Linked DNA regions of Rattus norvegicus. The protein of the gene in region 4 purifies or fractionates together with the protein of the main gene of each other region. This does not show direct contact. Links are inferred from orthologs where the notes say so. Each region holds a gene or a part of one and is shown on either strand. Other genes may lie near its edges.

Evidence for each region.
Region 1: the proteins of Akap9 (region 4) and Cdk5rap2 purify together in Homo sapiens (affinity purification with western blotting; 4 studies listed by BioGRID and IntAct, with this or other methods). This does not show direct contact. The link is inferred for Rattus norvegicus from reciprocal best matches to the Homo sapiens genes AKAP9 and CDK5RAP2.
Region 2: the proteins of Akap9 (region 4) and Prkaca purify together in Homo sapiens (affinity purification with mass spectrometry; 7 studies listed by BioGRID and IntAct, with this or other methods). This does not show direct contact. The link is inferred for Rattus norvegicus from reciprocal best matches to the Homo sapiens genes AKAP9 and PRKACA.
Region 3: the proteins of Akap9 (region 4) and Csnk1d purify together in Homo sapiens (affinity purification with mass spectrometry; 4 studies listed by BioGRID and IntAct, counting the BioPlex papers as one, with this or other methods). This does not show direct contact. The link is inferred for Rattus norvegicus from reciprocal best matches to the Homo sapiens genes AKAP9 and CSNK1D.

What each region holds. Positions count from the first base shown.
Region 1 is NC_086023.1:88,845,779-88,850,806, forward strand, and holds part of Cdk5rap2 (CDK5 regulatory subunit-associated protein 2), read right to left. Parts: intron 4,312-5,028; coding exon 3,738-4,311; intron 1,949-3,737; coding exon 1,716-1,948; intron 1-1,715. UniProt on the Homo sapiens protein: Potential regulator of CDK5 activity via its interaction with CDK5R1. Negative regulator of centriole disengagement (licensing) which maintains centriole engagement and cohesion. Involved in regulation of mitotic spindle orientation.
Region 2 is NC_086037.1:41,062,154-41,067,104, forward strand, and holds part of Prkaca (cAMP-dependent protein kinase catalytic subunit alpha), read right to left. Parts: intron 3,785-4,951; coding exon 3,658-3,784; intron 3,575-3,657; coding exon 3,479-3,574; intron 3,348-3,478; coding exon 3,225-3,347; intron 1-3,224.
Region 3 is NC_086028.1:106,726,370-106,731,397, forward strand, and holds part of Csnk1d (casein kinase I isoform delta), read right to left. Parts: exon of another isoform or gene 3,947-5,028; coding exon 3,807-3,946; exon of another isoform or gene 822-3,806; coding exon 789-821; 3' UTR 759-788; exon of another isoform or gene 1-758. UniProt on the Homo sapiens protein: Essential serine/threonine-protein kinase that regulates diverse cellular growth and survival processes including Wnt signaling, DNA repair and circadian rhythms. It can phosphorylate a large number of proteins.
Region 4 is NC_086022.1:31,108,467-31,113,494, reverse strand, and holds part of Akap9 (A-kinase anchor protein 9), read left to right. Parts: intron 1-926; coding exon of another isoform or gene 927-1,001; coding exon 1,002-1,215; intron 1,216-3,175; coding exon 3,176-3,249; intron 3,250-4,397; coding exon 4,398-4,533; intron 4,534-5,028. UniProt on the Homo sapiens protein: Scaffolding protein that assembles several protein kinases and phosphatases on the centrosome and Golgi apparatus. Required to maintain the integrity of the Golgi apparatus. Required for microtubule nucleation at the cis-side of the Golgi apparatus.

The DNA.
Region 1 (5,028 bases), on a different chromosome or scaffold from region 4:
GTAAACCCAGTTTATAACTCAAGAGCCAGACCCCTTACACAGCAGCCAAGAAATATCAGTTTCTGTGCCTCCTTTTATTCCCTATGTAGGGAGGAAGCTGCAGTGAGGTTCCTGTGGCCTTTATGCCTCGAAGAAAATGAGGTTCTACACTTGTGCCATCTGCTAGCTCTGAAACATTCCTACCTCCAGAGGAAACAACAAGTGGGATGTTTGTCAGACTCTGGCTCAGAGAGAAGTCATTGAGTAGCCAGCTGAAGAGAGAGAACAGCTGCTGCGACAGGCACTCTCCCCTTACCTCCCTGGCCACGACCAGGGCTGTCTAAAGAAAACACAACAAAACATTATGGGCTTGGTCAATCCAGTTTTATCTGTCTGCCATCCAGTTACTTCTGCACTAGTAAGTGAGAGCAAGCTTATTTAGAACACATGAGCCAGAGAGAACAGCCTTGATAAAGCTGCAAATAGGCTAGTGTGCCAATATGCTGGTCTCAAAGCTCTTAAGGACAAATGCCAGGAAACCAGTCTACAAGGTCTTTAGGAAAACCACTAATGGCTACCAGATGGGTGAACTACCCTGTGTTTATCCTGGAATTAAACTGTGCATTCTGGGACCAAGGTGAACTACCTGTTCTCTGTGTACGGAGGCAGAAGAGTAGTTAAACCTGGCATTACCAAGTGCCCTGTGTCTGTGGGAAACTACTTCCTCAGGTAAGGCCAGGTTCCTAACCTGTAAAAGCAGAGTTCTTACGGTTTAGCCTCAATTTACCATTAACACATCTGATCAGAAGTACTTGGTCATGAGAACCACATGTCACTCACAAAGCCAAGACCTAACAAAACCAAGTGTGGTGGTTTGAATCAGAATGGCTCCCAGAGGCTCATAGATTTGAATACTTAGCCCCCAAGAAGTGGCACTATTTGAGTGCATTATAAGGATTAAAAGGTGTGGACGTGTTGAAGGAAATGTGTCACTGGTGTTGGAGGTTTCAAAAGCCCATGCAAGGCCAATGTCATGCTCCCTACTCCCTATAAATCATGATGTAGTTCTCAGCTATTGTCTGTATTCTGCCATCTTCCCCACCATGATGACAATGGACTAAACCTCTGAAACTGTAAGCAAACTCCAAATACATGTTTTTTGTTTTCCATATGAGCTGCCTTGGTCATGGTGTCTCTTCATAGCAATAGGACAGTGACTATGACACTGAGTTATTGTCCAATTTTAAGGGCACTGTGATGCTTCAACCAAATAATGTCTACAACATCAAGAACACAAATAGATCTAGAGGGAACAGACTTATGCTAAGAGATCAGTTGTAAAACCCCAGCATGACCATTCATTCCCAACATGATCACAGATAAGGTACTTTCTCTCACAGACCACATTCTTCCACACCATAAAACTGGATCTACTCACTCACTTTCTCCCTATGAGAACAGAGAAAAAGGGAGCAGGAGAATGGGACAGTGATGTCAATGAGTGACAGGACTACTGCTGTCTTACAAATGTCCTGTCCAGTTCTTACCCAATGGGTGGCTGGGAAAAGCAAGGAGAAACAAGAGAAGCAAAGTGCAAAGACTATGAGAAAGAAGGCTGTTTGGGCTTAATGGCAGAACAGCCAGGTCAGTATGTACAGCAAAGGCAAGGAGTCAAATCTCCTGGTGTCCACTGAAGAAGTCACAGAGAGTCACACTGAGTGCCTCTACCTACTTACCATGGAGAAACAGCTTCTCCAGTTGCTCTAGCAGTCCAGCACACTGTGTTAGCTGCTCGCGGAAGCCCTCAGCCACACAACTGTCCACATCACTGGCCTGCAGAAGTTCCTCAAATGCCTTGATCATGGTGCTCATGTGTTGATGGCAAACGACACAGATATCATGACTATCCTTAATTTGCTGCCGCTGAAGAGAGAGCTCCCTTGCTTGGGACTGAACCAATGAATCGTATCTGATAAAAGAGGGAAGGAAAATGTGTGTGTCATTTTAGAATTGAATTTTTGTGACCTTAACACTAATTGGAAAAATGACAGAGCATAATTTCTGGAAGCCCGCAGCTGTACAAGCATATATACTTTAGAAAAATTGAAACTGTACAAGGTCACTCCTTCTTTGAGTTCAAACAGCCAACAAATGCTTAAACAGAGATTCTGCTGCAATATTTGTAACCGTAGAAAGCCCCCAATTAAAGCATAGATTGGCAAGGACTCAGGAGAACAATTAGTTTCCATACACTCTTCAAAGACACTATTCTGAGTTGTAGAAACAATTGCCACAAGGGTCAGGGACCCACTGAAAATTCTCACCAAGTACAAATATGTATATACCAAGGGTAAAAAAATAGGGCTGCTTGCCTCCAACTGAGAGAGTCGGACTCCCGGCTACCACCTTACTGACTGACTAGGTCCCATCATGGGAACAAGTTATCTTAGGTCATCTGGTTCTCCCAGGCTTCTAACAAATGGATTCATTAAAAAAAAAAAAAAAAAAGGAAAAGGAAAAGGAAATATTTCTCAAAGGTATTTAGAGGTAAAGCTTTGCTTCTTAAACACACAGCTTGTGAAGATTTATTATACAATACTGCCCCCTCACCACCAGGTGCCACTCTTCTCTATGCAGTCCCAGGAGTTGTTAAGAGCAAATCAAGGAGGAAAAGCAAACAGCAAGCTGGATCTAGAGTGGCCTGACAGGCACTTCTGTTCACCATGACCACTGTTAATACCAATAACCTACAAGCAAATCACATGACAGCCATCTTAGGTAGGGAACAGTATGGGCTTGAACCCTGGCAGTGGCTCTGACCATGGGCAAGTCACAGAAATCTTTTGAGTCTCAGTTTCTCTGTCTAACAAAAACAAGTTGAGAATGCTCCTGCTCAGTGTGTCTGGAGTTAAATAGTCAGTTCCTTCCCAGTGGGGTGGTTCATGCTTGCAATCCCAGCACTTAGGAGGCAGAGGCAGAAAGATTATGAATTTGAGGGCAGCTTGAACTACGTGGTGAAACTCCATCTCAAAACAAAATGAAACAAACACTTCCGAGCCTGGGGGCTGATACAACAGCCCATCAATAAATAACTTTCCCTCAGTCTTGCTGCTTGGGTAGCCTTGAAAAAAAAATCATTCTAGCTCTTGACAATTCAGAACAGTGCTTTTCTCAAATTAGTAACGAATGAAGGTCAAATTTACAGACTATCCCATTTTTTTGCCGTATCTCATGAAGCCAATGTACATATTTATAACCATAAAGCATTATCTTCATGACCCAAGAATTTCTTGCTTTCAACACAGGCTTATTTCTCTAAAATGACCTTAAAGGGTAAAGATATGGAAAGCATTTATATTCCTCCTAACCTGCTTAGGACATCCATTTTATTTCCACAACATGGCAAAAGCCAATAATAGAGTTCAAAAATAAACACGGCAGGCAGCTCAGTAAACACACTGCAATCCCTGACTGATTGCCGTGGAGTTCTATGCTGAGTCCTCAGCCCAAGCAGGGCAACATCTGTCCTGCCCATCTCAGAAGCTGGCCAGCCCCTAATGCGCATATGGACAGAGTAATGCTGTGCAGCCTAGCCTTTCACTCTGATCCCGGCTGCCTGAAGCCCGGCGAGTTGTCCCCAGGGTACACTATCCACCCATGGAGCACCATTCCTTCAGCAGCTTCTGGGCTTCTACCTAGCAACAACCTAGGAAACCTACAAGCCTAATGAGGCGGGCTGAAGCAGGAATAGGATGTACCTTGATGGCGAGAGGTCTCGGAACTTGTTCTGCAGGTTATGGATTTCACCGAAAAGTTCCAAGTTCAAATCCTGCTCCTTCTGTAGCTCCTGCTCCTGTTCTACCAGCTGCTGCTTGAGGCTCTCTAGCATCTTGCCATCAATTATTTCTGGGGTTAGTGGACGGAGGATTTTCATGTGCTTCACATATCTTACTTGGTGCAAACTTGAAAATGTCATCTCTTCTTCATCGATGTGGCCCTTAGGCTTGTTCAGGCCATCTTGGGCCCCTTCTGTCCCACACAAAACTGTAATAATAGCCTCACTGCACTGAGAATGCTTCTGTAGCTGGACAATGATGTTCCGGTAGCCTTCCAGCTCAGTTTGCAAGTCATGGATTTTCTGTTTTAAGGCTTCTGTATCATCAGGGAGATTGATATTCTCAGACTGGTCAGTTCCAACCACACTGACTTTAACAGAGAGCTGACTCTTGGAATCCAGGTAAGTGGCTATGGAGGGTGGGCCTAAGAAGTCTTCAAGGTTCTCTTTGCATGCTGGTAATAAGGCAAGGTCATCAGGTGGGCAGATTTCAGAATCTGAAAATCAAATACTAATCTTTGTCAGTGACTCCTTTGATGCAATCAACTTTTTAACTCTAGAGTTTCCCACAGTTGAATTCTGAATCTTAAATGTCCCCAAAGTCTGTATATTAAAAGCCTGGTTTATAGAACTACTGGAAAATTGGGCTGTGTTTAGGAGGTGGGGCCTTGTAGAAGAAAATCATCACTAAAGAGGACCTTAAGACCCTATCACCAAAACCCTGGTTCCTAAATGGTTCATAGACACTATAAGGTGAACAGCTATACTTTATCACATGCCCCCACCATGATATTATCCGTCACCAAAGGCTCAGAGTGACAAGTCCAGGCAGTCATGGATTGGACCTATGAACCAAAATACTTTGTTCTTTCAAGTTAATAGCCTTAGAAATGTTATCATGTTCTAGAAAGCTGACTAGCATACTATTTTACCACTCAATCCATCCTCTTTCTCATGTTGGAAGCAACACTGCTACATACATCATCCAGTGTGTGTCCCCCCCAAAGTCACCAGACCCTTCTGCCCACATCATACTGTTTCACAGTTCCATGCTTTTGCATGCACTGTCTCCTCAATCACTATTTGTCCTTCCCTACTCAGGACTAATTTTCCTTCTATGAGCTCACCTTTCGACTGTGCACTTCTCTGTGTACAATTATGTGCCTGCTTGTCTATGTATCACATGCCTGGAGGTACGCATGCAGGTCAGGAAA
Region 2 (4,951 bases), on a different chromosome or scaffold from region 4:
AACCTTGCCTCGGGTTGGGGATTTAGCTCAGTGGTAGAGTGCTTGCCTAGCAACTGCAAGGCCCTGGGTTTGGTCCTCAGCTCTGGGGGGGGGGTGGGGGTGGGGGGAGAAGGGAAGACCTTGCCTCAACAAAATCCCAAAAACTCATTGCTGGACCAATGAATGGCTTTGTTCTTGCAAAGGTCCCGGGTTTCATTCCCAGCATCTACATGTTGGCCTCTAACCACTGTTAAGTCCATTTCTAGGGGATCTAATGCCTTTGGCCTCCAGGGGTCCTGTACTCATGTCACGTACATACAGACACACAAAGTTAAAAAACACACAAAGTTACATAGTTAAAAAATAAAGTAGGGTGGGGTTGGGGATTTAGCTCAGTGGTAGAGCGCTTGCCTAGCAAGCGCAAGGCCCTGGGTTCAGTCCCCATCTCCGAAAAACAAAAACAAAAACAAAAACAACAAAAACAAAACAAAACAAAAACTAAAAAAATAAAGTAGGGAAACTATCAGCAGAGATGGCTTGGTGGAGCTAGCACTACAGCTCTGGGCCAGGTCAGGAGCCCAGCATACACAGGCCTCCACTTTTAGGCCCCAGTGGCCATGCAAACAAAAACCATGTTGAGTGTCTTCCTGAGTTTGCTGGCTTGGGAATTCTGGGTAAGGCCTGAGAATCTACAACCCCAAGGTCACAGGGAACAGAACTGTGGGAGGTTCTGTCTCAGGTCTGTAGACTTGAAATGTACCCTCAGCTGGGATTCTGCAGGCCTCTGAGTGGGGTCTGAGAGCTTCTAAAGTAAGGATAGTTCCTCAGTCTGGATAAGATAGCTTGTATCCATCCAGTCGTGCACCTCCAGAGGCCCTTAGCCCTGTATGCAGCCTCTGGATTTACACCCATAAGAACTAGCTTCTAGGAGGCAGAGGTGGTGGCAAACCCTGTCGCTCCCACTCTTGGAAGACTAATGCAGGAAGGTTGAGTTCCAGCGCTACATATTGAGACCTTGTAAGTCAATCAGTCAGTCAGTCAGTTAATCAAACAAACACCCACAAAAGGGCTAGCGGTGGCTCAGCAGGTAAAGGTACCTGTTGCTGAGCCTAATAATCTATCTAAGTTTGCCACCCACATCCCACATGGCAGGAGGAGAGGACTGACTCCTTTACGCTGTCCTTGACACACACAGCCAGTCTCAGTGCCACAAACACAATGAAGAGATGTAAAAAACTGAAGGGAACAAGAACCCAGGGTGAGGAAGAAAAGAACAAGGAAGGAAGAAATGAGGAAAGGGAATGGAGACTTGCAAGAAAAGCAAAAGGAAGGAAAGAAACAAAGACAAGAACCCAACTGGTCCCTGTTAAGCCTTCCCGGTGCTGTGTGACCTTGGCCAGAGCCCTTAACCTCTCCAGGCCTGCACTGGTCTCAATGACATGGGGCAGATATCCCAGGGTTCTGTGTGACAAGATAACAGTCAGGGCCCGTGGGAACTGTAAATTGCTACAATGGAGATTATACTCAACCATGTGTGGTGGCGCATGCCTGTCCACCCAGGACTTGGGAGGCAGTGGCGGCACCCAGAGTTCAAGGGTAACCTTGACTATGTATGGAATTGGGAGTCCGATTTCAATACAACAAAATGTCCTCCCGTCTTCCTCAGTCTTCTATGGAGTTTTTCTGTACTCTCTCAGCCACCATCTAGGACATTTCAACTTTTCATTTTGGGTTTCTTCTGAATGATATTCTGTAACAGGTCCCAAAATTTGTTTCCCTAACCTTACAGCAATCCTGCCTCAGTCTTCTGAATGCTAGGGGGAAAAGCACTTACTAAGGCTCATTTAATCCCAGCAGAGGCAAAGGCAAGCAGATCTCTGTGAGTTTGCTGGCATACTTAGTAAAATCTAGACTACCTAGGGCTACAAAGTAAGAACCTGATTTAAAAAAAAAAAAAAAGCAAAACACAAAAAACAAAAACAAGACAGAAAAAAGAAAAGAGAAAAAAGAAGAAAAGCACATGGCTGTCTTTCTTCTGTCTCATGGGAGGTGTGCACATCCACTCCTAGGTGATAGTGTGTGCTCAGCCCCGAGGACCACAGCATAGAATACTGTCTCTCCTCCAACCTCCCAGACAGGCAGATGGATAGATAAAATGAGGTTCAGAGAATCTAAGTGACTTTGTCTCAGTTTCACCCAATAGTTTGTCACAGGATTGGGACTTGGGGAGCAGTGAACCACTTATGGAGACTTGGAGCCAGCCAGTAGCTGTTGTCAAAGACAATAAAACAGGTGGGGTGACAGCCGGGCTCCCCTGCTAGGTAAGGCTGGTGAAGGCAGAGCTGTGACTCTCAGCGCTGCTCCCCAACCCCACTGAGGCTTCCACTTGATTCCCATGGTGCAATCTTAGACCAACCACATGCCCTTTCTGTACCTTAGTATCCTTACCTCTCCTACAGGGGTGCCATTTCTTCAGGATAAGGCTAGAGGGTGAGCCAGGGCTAATGAATGGTGAGGACAGGAATGGGCCTCCTGAAAGGTCCGGTCTTGGGCTCTGTCTTTGTCATGGACAAGGTTTTACCCTGTAGGCCCTGTGCCAGGTTGGTCTGGCACTTATGCCAATCCTCTGCCTCGGACTTCTGAAGAGTGCAGAACGTTTAAGTCTACACTGTCATGCCAGGGTCACTAAGGAGACTACATCTGGAAGGAATAGGCAGTTGCAGGTCCTGCCCACAGCAGGGTGAGGCTTGCTGGTATGGCTGGGGTCGACACCTGGGAACTGAATGAGTTTGGTTTGTTCTTCTGGTCTGGTGTCAAGGTAGCAGCTTCTGTAGCCAGAGCTCTGATGTGGGTCAGCTTGGGACATGCTTGGGAGTTCAGTCCTGTCGTTCGTGTGTGTGTGTGTGTGTGTGTGTGTGTGTGTGTGTGTGTGTGTGTGTGTTACACACATGCTAGACTACAACTCTCCCGCTGAGCCACACCCCTGTCCCCTTCACGATAGACTCCGGGCGAGTGCTCTATGGCTGAGTCATATACCCCTGTCCTTGATTTTCTGTTTCACTATTTCTTTAGCCCATGTTATCCTGGAAATCTCTATGCAGCCCAGATTGGCCTCAAACAAGATTTTCCTGCCTCAGGCTCGACTGTTAAGACAACAGGTCTGTGACAGCACATTTTGCCTTGTGAGGACATGTGACAGGCTGTTTTGATTCCTTCCAGGGATGAACTCCATCTCCTGGCCTCACCTTCCCAGAGACGATTTTCTCATAGATCTGGATAGGCTGGTCAGCGAAGAAGGGCGGGTAACCAGCAGCCATCTCGTAGATGAGGACCCCGAGAGCCCACCAGTCCACAGCTTTGTTGTAGCCCTAGAGCAAGATGGGGGGGGGGGGGCGTTCGATGAGGCAAGAAGGTGAAGAAGGAGATGACTCTTCAGGGGCAGGGCGGGCTAATGAGGTGGAGTAGGCCTCAGGGGTGGGCAGGCTGGAGAGGTGCCTACTTTGCTCAGGATAATCTCGGGGGCCAAGTACTCGGGGGTCCCACACAAGGTCCAAGTTCGGCCTTTCACACGCTTGGCAAAACCGAAGTCTGTCACCTGTAGGCACAAGAATGAGCAGTTGGCAGAGAGAAGGGCTGCAGGTTCCAACTGTGCCCTCCAGTGCCCTCCCCCGCAGGTACCTGAATATAGCCCTGCTGGTCGATGAGAAGGTTCTCGGGCTTCAGGTCCCGGTAGATGAGGTCCAGGGAGTGCAGATACTCAAAAGTCAAGACGATCTGCGCCGCGTAGAAACGGGCGTGGGGCTCACTGGTGGGACAAGCCGGGAGGGGATGTGTGGGTGAACATGACCACATCCCCTCTGTGTGCCCACAGAGCAAGATACCCCATGTCTAGCTAATCAAAATGTAGACTAAAGGCTAGAAATGCCACATACCAGTTGTCCCAGTTATGTGGGAGGCTGAGGTAGGGGGACTTCGTGTGCCCAAGATTTCAAGGACAGCGTGACAGACACCCAAACTCTATTGTAAAAACTGGGGAGCCTGACATGGCGGCACATATCTGTCACTATAGCACTCTGAGAGGCAGAGGCAGAAGCATTAGCATATCTGAGGCTAGCCTGGGCTACATCAGGTTCCAAGCCAGCCCAGAATACAAAGTGAGACCCTGTGTCGAATGAAACAACAAAAATCAATTCCCCCTGCCTGCCCCATTCTGAGCTGAATAATTCTATCCTAGATTTGGACTAGAAGGCTGAAAGGGACAGGTGCCTTGCTGAGGAAAGAAAGTGGTTTAAGGAAATTTTGTCTGCTGAGGAGTTAACTTACTTAAGAAAGTGGTTTAGGGAATTTTGTCTGCCAATCAGAGTTTTGGAAGAAAGTCATCAGGGTACAAACAATTGTCAACACAAAACCACCCTGCAGGGCAAGACAGCGTCGTATGTATACCTTGAGCCCAAGCACCCCAGAGGTCTATGAGTTCTAGGCCAACCTGGTCTACATGGCCAGCCAATGTTACATAAAACAAAACAAACAACAACAAAACCAACCCTGAACACCTCACAGGTTTGGTCATCAAGGACTACAGTTCTTGTTGACTTGTGTTTGTAAGAGGCAAAGCTCAAGTTTATAGAAAGACGGCAATTTGTAGAATTTAAAAGAGGAAACCCTGTCTCTCTGTCTCTCTCTGTCTCTCTCTCTCTCTGTGTGTGTGTGTGTGTGTGAGAGAGAGAGAGAGAGAGAGAGAGAGAGAGAGAGAGAGAGAGAGAGCGCGAGCGAGCTGTGGCTCTCAGCAGTTGCCCAGAGACAAATGAGGAGAAAGGGGGAAGTCAAACATGGGCTGTTAGCAGCTCGGAGGGCAGTCACAGGGTAGCTGCAGGAATATGGAAGGGCTGGGAGCTTTTGAGAAAAGGAATCACAAAGCAGCAGGAAAACCGCACCCCATGAACAGCCAGCATCAGAACGATAGAGACAGAAA
Region 3 (5,028 bases), on a different chromosome or scaffold from region 4:
TACCCCTTAGGGAAGACGGAAAAATTCTTATCGACACACTTCCAAGAGTGCACACATGTGTTAAACAGAGCAGATCTCCCAGCAGCACAACCCCCACCAAAGCTCAAGCCCCTGATGGAAGGAACCACCAAATACCATGTGGCCAACAAGAGAGGAGCTCAGCGTGGACACCCAGCCATGCACTGACGGCAGGGTAGCAGGTGGCTGTGGCTGGATTAATACAGACAACAGCTGCATGGACAAGATGGCTGGGCAGGTACCAAGTTTGGAAAGAAACACAAAATGAGGACAGAGATAAATGAAAGAGGAAGAGGGATGACTGAAAAAGCCAGGATGGGCACAGACCACCGGGTCTGCATGTAGCAAGAGCTCAAGAAAGCCCAACACCAAGCATGGACCACTCAGCTGAGTACAACAGACACATGTGCTACCAGCACATCTGCCAGAGCCAGGACTGAGGGCAGTTCCAGCATACTAAATATAATCACAGGAGGCCAGAGGACAAAGGCACAGCAGGATGGTTCTCTAAGGTCACTCAGTCCAGAGATTCTAAGGATGCCACTGATCCCCAGACTGGGTAGCTCACCATTGCTACTCCATAACCCACACAAAGAAAAACAAGCAGAAGAAGCCTCACTCTACCTCCAGCATTTGGCATGCAAGCCCAGCCCACCAGCGAGCCCAGATGACAGGTGGGGAGTTGCTCCCACCTTGCCTGGCACCTGCTACTTGCAGAGCCCCACCATGAGCACACTCACCCAGTGCTGCCTTCCGATGGAGACGAGCAGCTACTTGCCGTGGTGTTCGAAAGGAATGCTATTCTGAGGTGGGGGAAAAGACAGCTGTTGGTAAGTGTCCTGTTGGCCACACCAGCACATGAGATCCTGGTCCCCTGGCTTCTTGTATTGAGCCCAAGTCCTGATGTGTCCCTTGCCTTGACCAAGTCAAGACACGAACAGACACTCTGGGGACGCCAGCTAATGGCAAGTCTCACCACACAGTGCACAACTCATCTGTCTCTCATGACCCTTGATAAAAGTGACCACTGCTGTTTCCTAATGTCATCCTTTAGAAAAGCTGAAATCCAGTGGACGGCGAGGCTGAGGAAGCCCTATAGATTGGTTTCACAGCACTACGCAGCAGGTGGAAGGGATAGCACCTCCCAGGATGCACCCAGGGATACACTCCCTCCTAACAGAGTACCAGGCTGATCTTAGAACCTTATTTTGGGGCAGGTGTGTACTAAGTAAGGCATCAAAAGCAGTAACTGGCATATTTTGAACTGTGCTAGACTGGAAACCTTTCTTTTCAATGAAGGAAAAACAATAGAGATGCACTCATCAGATGCCCTGCAAAGCCTATGTTCTTTTGTCTAATGAGAGCAAACTCACAGATATCAGGGAAAATGGGAACATGGTCTCCCGAGAAGACTTGCCCAATGCAGGGCCCTTCAGGGAAAGGAAGATGCTGAAGAAGCCCAGCTGCTTACAGGCAGTGAGTGTGAGGGCAGGGTTCTACAGGAAAGAAGCGGTGACTCCAGTGACCTGTACCATGCCTTGTCAGCATCATGAGGTGGTGGACAAGAGCAGCAGATGCTTGTCAAGACTGGCTTTAACCAAGTGTATGGACTTGTGGGTGTCATGTTATCTCATAGGATGCACCAACTATTAGAAAACCAGCAGCTGTAGGTAAGGAGGCCGAGTGAAAGGTATGTGCTGTTGTGACAAGAGCTTATATGCACGGTGCTCGCTAGAGTTCACTGTGCTAAGTGACGCCATCACTCCTACCTGAACCCCTGCTCTCTAGGGAGAAGTTAATACTGGCCTGCCTAACCCCAACTAGCCTTTAATTTCTAAAAGGCCAGAACAGAAGCCTGGCTGAGGGCCTAGAAAAGAGTTTAGAGAGGGATGAATTATTTGGAGAAGAGAACACATCGTATATAGTAAGAGCACACTGATGCTGGTGGTACTGTGTAACAACAAGGATCCTCTTAAGGGTAGTTGCCTTTTAGTGACAGCACAACTCCCCCAAAGGTGCAGCTATGAAGACAAATGAGCACCCTAGAGACAACCACACAAGGCAGAGTGTGAGTCACAGTCTAGAAAATCCCCAACACAGCCAAGGAGAAATTAAGAAACTCCGGGAAGGGAGCCTCCCAACCATGTTAAAGCCTGTTAATAGTTCTCCATGCATAAACATGAGAGACCAAGCAATCAGAGACTCATCATGTGGAAGGAAGTGCTATTCTGATACCATAAGGCCAAGGAAGCCATAGCCTTGGCAGGAAGAAGCTGGGCTGTATCCCATGTCTTCTTGGTATCCACAAAACCTGATTCTTCCATTTTCCTCCTGGATCCCAAACTAACAGATGTTTCATTTTCATACTGAATTAAAAGCAAAAGAGCCCATCCCTGCCATCACTTCCTTAGCCTCTATCTAGCTGCTGGCATGAAATATGTCCAAACCCAGCCAGGACCCAACACACCACAGGTTGTAGATGAACAGGCAGAATTGAACCACTTCCTAATGTAAACACAAGGATTTGTGTGAAAAACAAAACAAAAAAACCCAAACAAAAACAAAACAAACAAACAAAAAAACCCAAACCAAAGAAAAACAAACTGTTAAGTCTTCCACAAGGAAGCCGAGCTTAAGAGGGTATGGTACACACTGAGGAACTCAATCTCCTGATGTCAAAACTCAAGGCCTAGAACTTAAGTGATCTCTTGTCAAACTTCCTACATCTGTTGTCTTTTCAGGAGAAAATTATACAAACCCAGAAATTTCTGGCAAATAAGGAACGCACAGGAACACCTTTTACCAGTACAGTCCCCAGTGTGGCCTGAGCCCAGAAAGCCCCAGGGATCTTGCATTGACTCAATCAATACATGCTCAGTCCTTCCCCACGCAAACACTGTACTAGGTCCCACAGTGAACCAGAGAGGTGTTGCCATACAAGTGCGCTTCAAAACAAGCTCTAGAAGGGCAGTGGTACTGGCAAAAACCTCCTCAAATTCATCCTTGACCCCACCTAGCCCCGTAAGTGGGAGACCCTACTTCAGAAAAAGAAGTGTAATGTTGACAGAAGTTATTCTAGTCTGTTGAACAAAGCAGTGTTGAATGTAAAAGCAGCAAAAGCAGAGAGGAAGAGGACTCAGATGTAGATGAAGGAGTATCTATGAGAAAGAGGACTGGGAACTAGCTCCAACTACCCTACCTTGCCTGCGTACTTCATTAGAGACAGACAGGTCAACAGAAGATGACACTTTATAGCTTGGCACCTCTAACGATCGCTCACAAGAACCCTTCTTATGCAGCCAGTGCCTTTCCTGGTATTCTGCTAAGGAGAGCCTGGCTAGCAAACACAAGTAGTTATAAAAGCCAGGTGTGCCAATGACAGACATCTCCTCGTCAAAAGGTACAAGCAAGCAGGCATATTTTGTCTTCCCTGGTGGGGAAGGCGGCGGGGCAGGGATAGGGATGTCCCTCTGAAATGAGCGTAAGAGGAAAAGCTTCACACACAGTTCACAGCCAATCATTACAGTCCTAGCCAGGAAACAAACCCTTTAGAAACCCAGTAAGTCGCAGGCTCCAATGGGTTAAGCATCCATAAAAATAAGAAAAAAAGTAGGAGGAAGAAAGGAAATACATTTTTCACAAATGTTGCCCCACTCCTGACTATGAACCTATAAAGGTCAGTTCTTAAGAAAGGTAGGGAGAGCCGGTGTCAGCACACAGTGACAAGGACATGCATCCCCACACTTGGGTCTGGCGCAGCTAGGCCTCAGTGAGTTCTACATGCATACCTGTGAGGTGGACATGCGAGAGGTATCTTGTCGGCCCGTGAGATCAGATGAGGAGACGTTGACTGGGGCCCCACGGTGCAGCCGCATACTCACTTTCCGTTCTCGTTCCATGCCAGAGACGGGTCTAGGAGAGGTGTTGGCTGGAGAGGACGAGAAACCACAATTATTAAATATCCATGGCTCTTTTAACACCTCATTAGATGGAGAGACTGCTCAATGGTCACAGACACTTGCTCTTACAGAGGACCCAGTTTGGTTTCCAGTATCCATATGGTGGTGGCTAAAAACCACCTCTAACTCCAGTTCCAGGAGATTCGATGCATCTTTTGACCTTCAAGGGCACTGGGCACACACGAGGCAAACACCCATGACACATGTAATTAACTTAAAAAAAAAAAAAATCTCATGAACAGAGGCTAATGACCCTAGCCAAGTACATATCCTGAACCCACTGAACTGGCTCAGGGCTTCACATAACCAACTCAAGTTCAAATGTTCAGCAATTCCAAGAAACCCTAGTAGATGAATGCATTTTAAGGCTCCAATGTTTAGCAATATACATGTCCGCCCTGAGTATTCAAAGATTTATGAGAATATCTATATTATGAGAGCTAAACTTTTAAAAAATTATTTATGTGTGTGGATGTTTTCCCTACACATCTCTGTGTACCATGTGTCCAAGAAATCCAGAAGATGATGTTGGTTCCCCTGGAACTAGAGATTCAATGTAAAAACTTACTTATGGGTGTTAGGAAATAAATCCAAGTTCTCTGGAAGAACAGATAGAGCTCCTTTTTTTATTTTTTTCTTTTTTTTCTTTCCTTTTTTTTTTTTTTTTTTTTCGGAGCTGGGGACCGAACCCAGGGCCTTGCGCTTGCTAGGCAAGCGCTCTACCACTGAGCTAAATCCCCAACCCCACAGCTAGAGCTCTTAACCACTGAGTGATCTCTCCAGTCCCATGAAAGTCAACTCTTACTTCTTTCTTTCCTTTGAGACAAGATCTCACTATGTAGACCAGGCTGGCCTTAAGTTCACAGAAAGCCACCCTGCCCTCTTCCCAAATTTTGGGGTTACCATGCCATGTCTAAAGGTAACATCATGTCCTATGTCCCTGTCCTACCTACTCTTCAGAATGAAGTAGGGACACAACCCTCAACTGATTAACCCAGAATCTTTTTGAGGCCACATACTGGTGTGGTTAGCAATTCATCAACACATTAAA
Region 4 (5,028 bases):
CTTAGTTCAATTATATAAAATATTATTTGGCTACTAAAGCTGGGCCTGTGCATCAGCTCTGACCAGCAGTTACGTTCCTGACGGCAGCGACACTTGGAAACAGGCAGAACGAGTATTTCTTAAGCTTCCTGAACCAGGTCAGAGGGCAGACACCATGGACTCGTGTCAGCAAGAGCTGCAGATGAGTCTGATGCATCCTGGACGCTCACTCGCCAAGCGTTCACCCACTTGTCGTAGGTGCTTATCTGTAATAATTAACCACCTTTTGATTTAAAGGACCCAAGCTTGCGAAAGTCTAGTTGGTCTCCACCAAGGGAAGTGCTCCAGTTGTGGATTGTTCATTTATGCTGCCCTGCAATCAAAATGAATGAGCCTGTCGCATACACGCATTGATGTCAGAAGCATTTTTATTGATATTTTTATATTTGATAGAAAAAATGCAAAGGAATTTACAAAATGAGTGCCTTTGCATCAGTACACAGAAATACACACTATAATGTGCTGTTTACGTGTATTGGGGAAATGATAGTAGACACATTTCAGATTTTTTTGGTAACAGTTCCTTGTGAGCAAGAAATAATCAAACATCATGAATTTAATTTTGTCTCTAATGTTTTCTTTCTTATTTTAAGGAGCTTTAGATAGATAGAAGAAAAAAATGACAAGACATTGGGATTTATTAATTTGAGTTTTGAGTACATTGGTATTTATTTACATTATTTTCATTTTGTAGCTGTGAAACATTATTTAAGAGATTCTTGCTAGCTATACCAACCTATTTACCATCACACTGAGTTAATCAATAGAAACATGATACTGTCTTTCTTGAGCAAGACAAGCGGTTTGGTGCATCTGGAAGAGGTCTCTAAAGCAGACCAGCTCCTCCACACGAGTTTGAAAACTGTGACGTGTTTTCTCCTTTGAAGTTCAGTCCATGTAGAGAAATCGAATCCGAGCTGCTACTTCAGCTTTTCCTCATGCTTACGCCTGTTCACTTCAAGGACGATCTGAGGCTGCAGATGGAAGCCCAGCGCCTGTGCCTTTTTGTGGTTTATTCAACTCATGCGGATCAGGTTCGTGCATATATGGAGAAGGAGAGAGAGGAAGCTCTTTGCAGCCTTAAAGATGAGCTCGTTTCCGCTCAACAGAAAAAGATCGACGAGCTTCATAAGATACACCAGTGCCAGCTCCAGCATGTTAAAGTACAGGAGACAGGTAACCAGCCTCTGACTAATGTCCACGAAACACATAAGCGTCCCTTAAAGTATCATTTGGTAATCCTGGCCTTGTCTCCGGCCCCGTGGGGTAAGGGGCTCTCCATCTGATTCCCGGATTTGTTTATTCATGTCACTGAGGTGCCCGGGACAGCAAAGCTCACTGCCTCATTTCCTCATGGAAATAAAGCCATTCAGAAAGTGCCCAGAAACGGACTGTGAACGGAGCCGTGCTAAACCATACTGGAGGAAGCACCAGTGGAGAGAGATTGGCTGTGTGTCTAGGGCATGCGTTTATCATTGGCTGGACTATTTCCTGAAGTATCCCAGACTGACAAGTAGCCCAGATCACTCCAGGGTGAATACACAGCATGGGAGGAAGAGGGAGAGGCGATGAGTGTTCTGTAACGGTGGAGCAGAGCAGTTGGGTTGGGAACTGTGGGGCGTTTCTGAAATGTTAAGTATAGACCTGCAGAGAGAGACCCATTTTGGAGAACTGAAAGTTCAAGTTGTTTAAGAAAGTAGTGAGGGATAAGCTGAAGCGAGTGGCCAGTGCCTGATTAGAAGACCCATATACCTCGGAGGAGGAGGCTTAAACTTCCTGCTACGGCTTTTAAGTAGAGGAGGCAACAGTGATATTTTTATTTACGAGGACACCCATGTGCTTAATTGGGAAAAATTAAGTAATTGATGGGCAGATCAGTTAAACAACCTTAGCTATAGCCAATAAATGTTGAGACCGGAAACAAAATGACAGTGAAACTTAACAGTCGGAGCTAAATGCTGTCACTGTCAATTTATAGCAGCAGCAAAGGTGGGAGGAGTTGAGAATATTTCTGACTTCTCTTGCCTATGTGGTTTCAGTCACAAAGAGGAGCAGACCATAGACAATATAGTCAGTTTAGAATACTCCGAGTATATATGTTAACTTGGAAAAGAAATAGTCACTAATCACTAATCAGCTAAAAGGAGTGGGCCAAAACCCAGGGGAGACTTTTAGGCTAAAAAAAAAAAAAAATACAGTCTGTGTGGAGCTGAAAGACCAGAGTCCCTAAGGCCAGAAGTAGAGTGAGATGCCCTGGAGACTGGAGGGTAAGCAGAAAGCCTTGGTGGCACCGTGGGAAGGACACTGAAGAGACCACAGTGGAAGGCAGAACCTGTTAGGGGGCAGCTGTTGTTGAGGATTTGTAATTTTCTACTCTGGCTTCCTGTCCTTTAGCCACTGTTGGCTCCCATATTTACCATTAGGAATGAGGTCCTTAAGTCTCCGGTGGAATTGCGCTGTTGAACAAAGTTAAGATTTCAAGAGTCACTTAAAGAAGGATGGCAGTTTTTCGTTTCCAGAGTTTTCTTTTTGTTTTTGTTTTTTAATGCAGTAAGATTTTGCATGCATTGTTTGTATGTTTGTATTGATACCTCTTCAGATAGCCTGTCTAGTGTTTTCTGTTGACAGTCGAGTGTTCTATTACTAGGTGATAAAGCAGTTTAGTGAGTGGTGATTAGTGTTTCTGAAAAGAGAAGAGAACAGAAAATATATATATTTAATAATTAATTAATGAATTTAATTTTGCAGTGCTAGGGCTGAGACCCAAGGCTTGCACATACTAGTCAGAGTACCCACTACCCTCCCACTGAACTCTGCTCCTGCACAAAAAGATAGCAGCTCGTTTGTGAGAGCTGTGAGGTTTGCAAGGATGCATTTAATGGATAAGTATACAGATATATTTCTTGGGTTGGAATGTAGAATCCTGAATGTATAAACCCTTTTATAGAATAGAAATTGCAAATCTTAGAAATTTATCTGAGACAGTTACATTGCACATTTGGAAGAAATTGAAATGTGTCTTATTTTAGGGAAGCTTCTAGTCTTATTCTAGGGACGCTTCGGTGATAGCATTAAAATATGACAGCATTACTCGCATATGTGCAGCAAATAGCTCACGTGTGGTGTTTTCTGCTAGGTAACGAGCCTTTACAGGTGCTCATTGAACGGCTTCAAAAGGCAGTGTCTGAGAAATGCTTTCACATCTCAAAGGTAAGATGTTACTTTAAAAGAGGCTTTGGATGAGAGTTACCAAAATCAACATTGCTACTGATTTAATGAACAGAATAATCCACTCATGTTTGCCCAAATCTCTTGCGTCTAGAACTGTACTTACCAAGTATTCCTGAGTTTTGAGCTTAAAGGAGCATTTGACTTTTTTCTGATAGCCAGTTTGGAACAATAGGACATTAGAGCTATGGATGTGACTCGGACCCAGCGCTTGCCTGTTGTGTTTGAGGTCTTGAGTTGGGTTTCTGGCACCACAAAAAGGAACAAAGAAATTGAGATAAGTTGTGTCTCCAATAGTGCAGACTCTATAATCATTGTTCTTGTCAGAGAGTTACTATTTAACCTTCCAAGCAAACAGTTTGTTCATTAAAACTTTACCTTTGTGGCTGTGCTGAAGTAGCAGTATGCCAGTTATTGACTGCGTGCTTAACTTTGAAACATGCAAGAAATGGCAGCAGCTTTAAAAGTTGGCTTTTAAGTCTTTTAAATCTTTGGTGGTTATTTCCAGTTGAGTGAGAAACAAAGGTAAAACTAAATCGGACAGCTTGTCAGGTCATAGAACATGAAATGGCGTCTTACATGATGGAATTTTCAGTTTCTCTGGGGAACATGGTGCTGGATACTTTTAACGTTGTGTGTGTGTGTGCAGACTACAGAAAATACTCTGGCATATTATTGAAAGGACATTAGTATAACCTCCTCCTTGATGGATTTTCATTTTGGTAGGTTTGACAGACCTCTCAAATCGTCATCTTTGAACTTTCTCTCCTTGCGATGTTCAAGATAGTTGACATAGTAATGAGATATTTTTATGGCAGAGCAATCACATCAGAGTGGGAACTATGTGAGGGAGTGATGGCTTACTCTTCATTGTATATTTCAACATTAAAAGAGAACAGAAAAATCCATAATATTTTGTATAATTAAGATTATCCATATTTTCCTGATAAAAGAATAATTTCATGCCAAAGAGAATGTTTTTCCTGTAGATTGATTTCATATATGGAGGGAGAGGGAATTCAGAATCCATTCATACAATTTCGAACTTCTTTTGCATTTAGGTTAATGTTTTCTAATACTTAGGAGAAGAAATTAAAATTTTAATTTAAAATATTCAATTTTGTTAACAGACCCTAAACAATGTTTTCGATGAATGTTATACTCCTTTAAAATGTGAAATGAATATAGAAGAGAAAGAGAATTCTGGTGTTTACACTTCTCAAAATCAAAGCCCAGAATTACGAGAGTATAGATACGAAGTCCAAGGTAAAAGCTTACTGTGCTGTAAACAGTATTTACTTTGCTTAAGTCAACTGCTTATAAACTTAACTTTAATCACAACTTAATTAAGACAAGTTTTCTTAGCATCTTTTTTTTAGCTATGGAATTTATATTTAGTGTATTCTTTTCATCTTTATAGTACTATACAGATAAATACTTGTTTTTCTTGTTTCTTTATTCTTGAATTTTTTCATTCCAGTCTAATTCTTAGTGTTAACTGTTATAACTGTAGATCCTAATCTTTAAAAATTAGAGTTTACTAAGTTTCAATTAATGGTTTATAATTTTAAAAGTGGATACAAAATTGAGAATTGAGATACATTAAGAGATAACCCTTGCCTGGTATGGTGGTGCACAAAAACTTGAGATAAAGTTTTCAAGTTAATGTCATACCAATTACTTCATAGTAATGATTCTTAAACTTGTTTTACTAGATGTATGGTTTTATTACCTCCTGATATGTTTCTAAAGTTAGAAGTA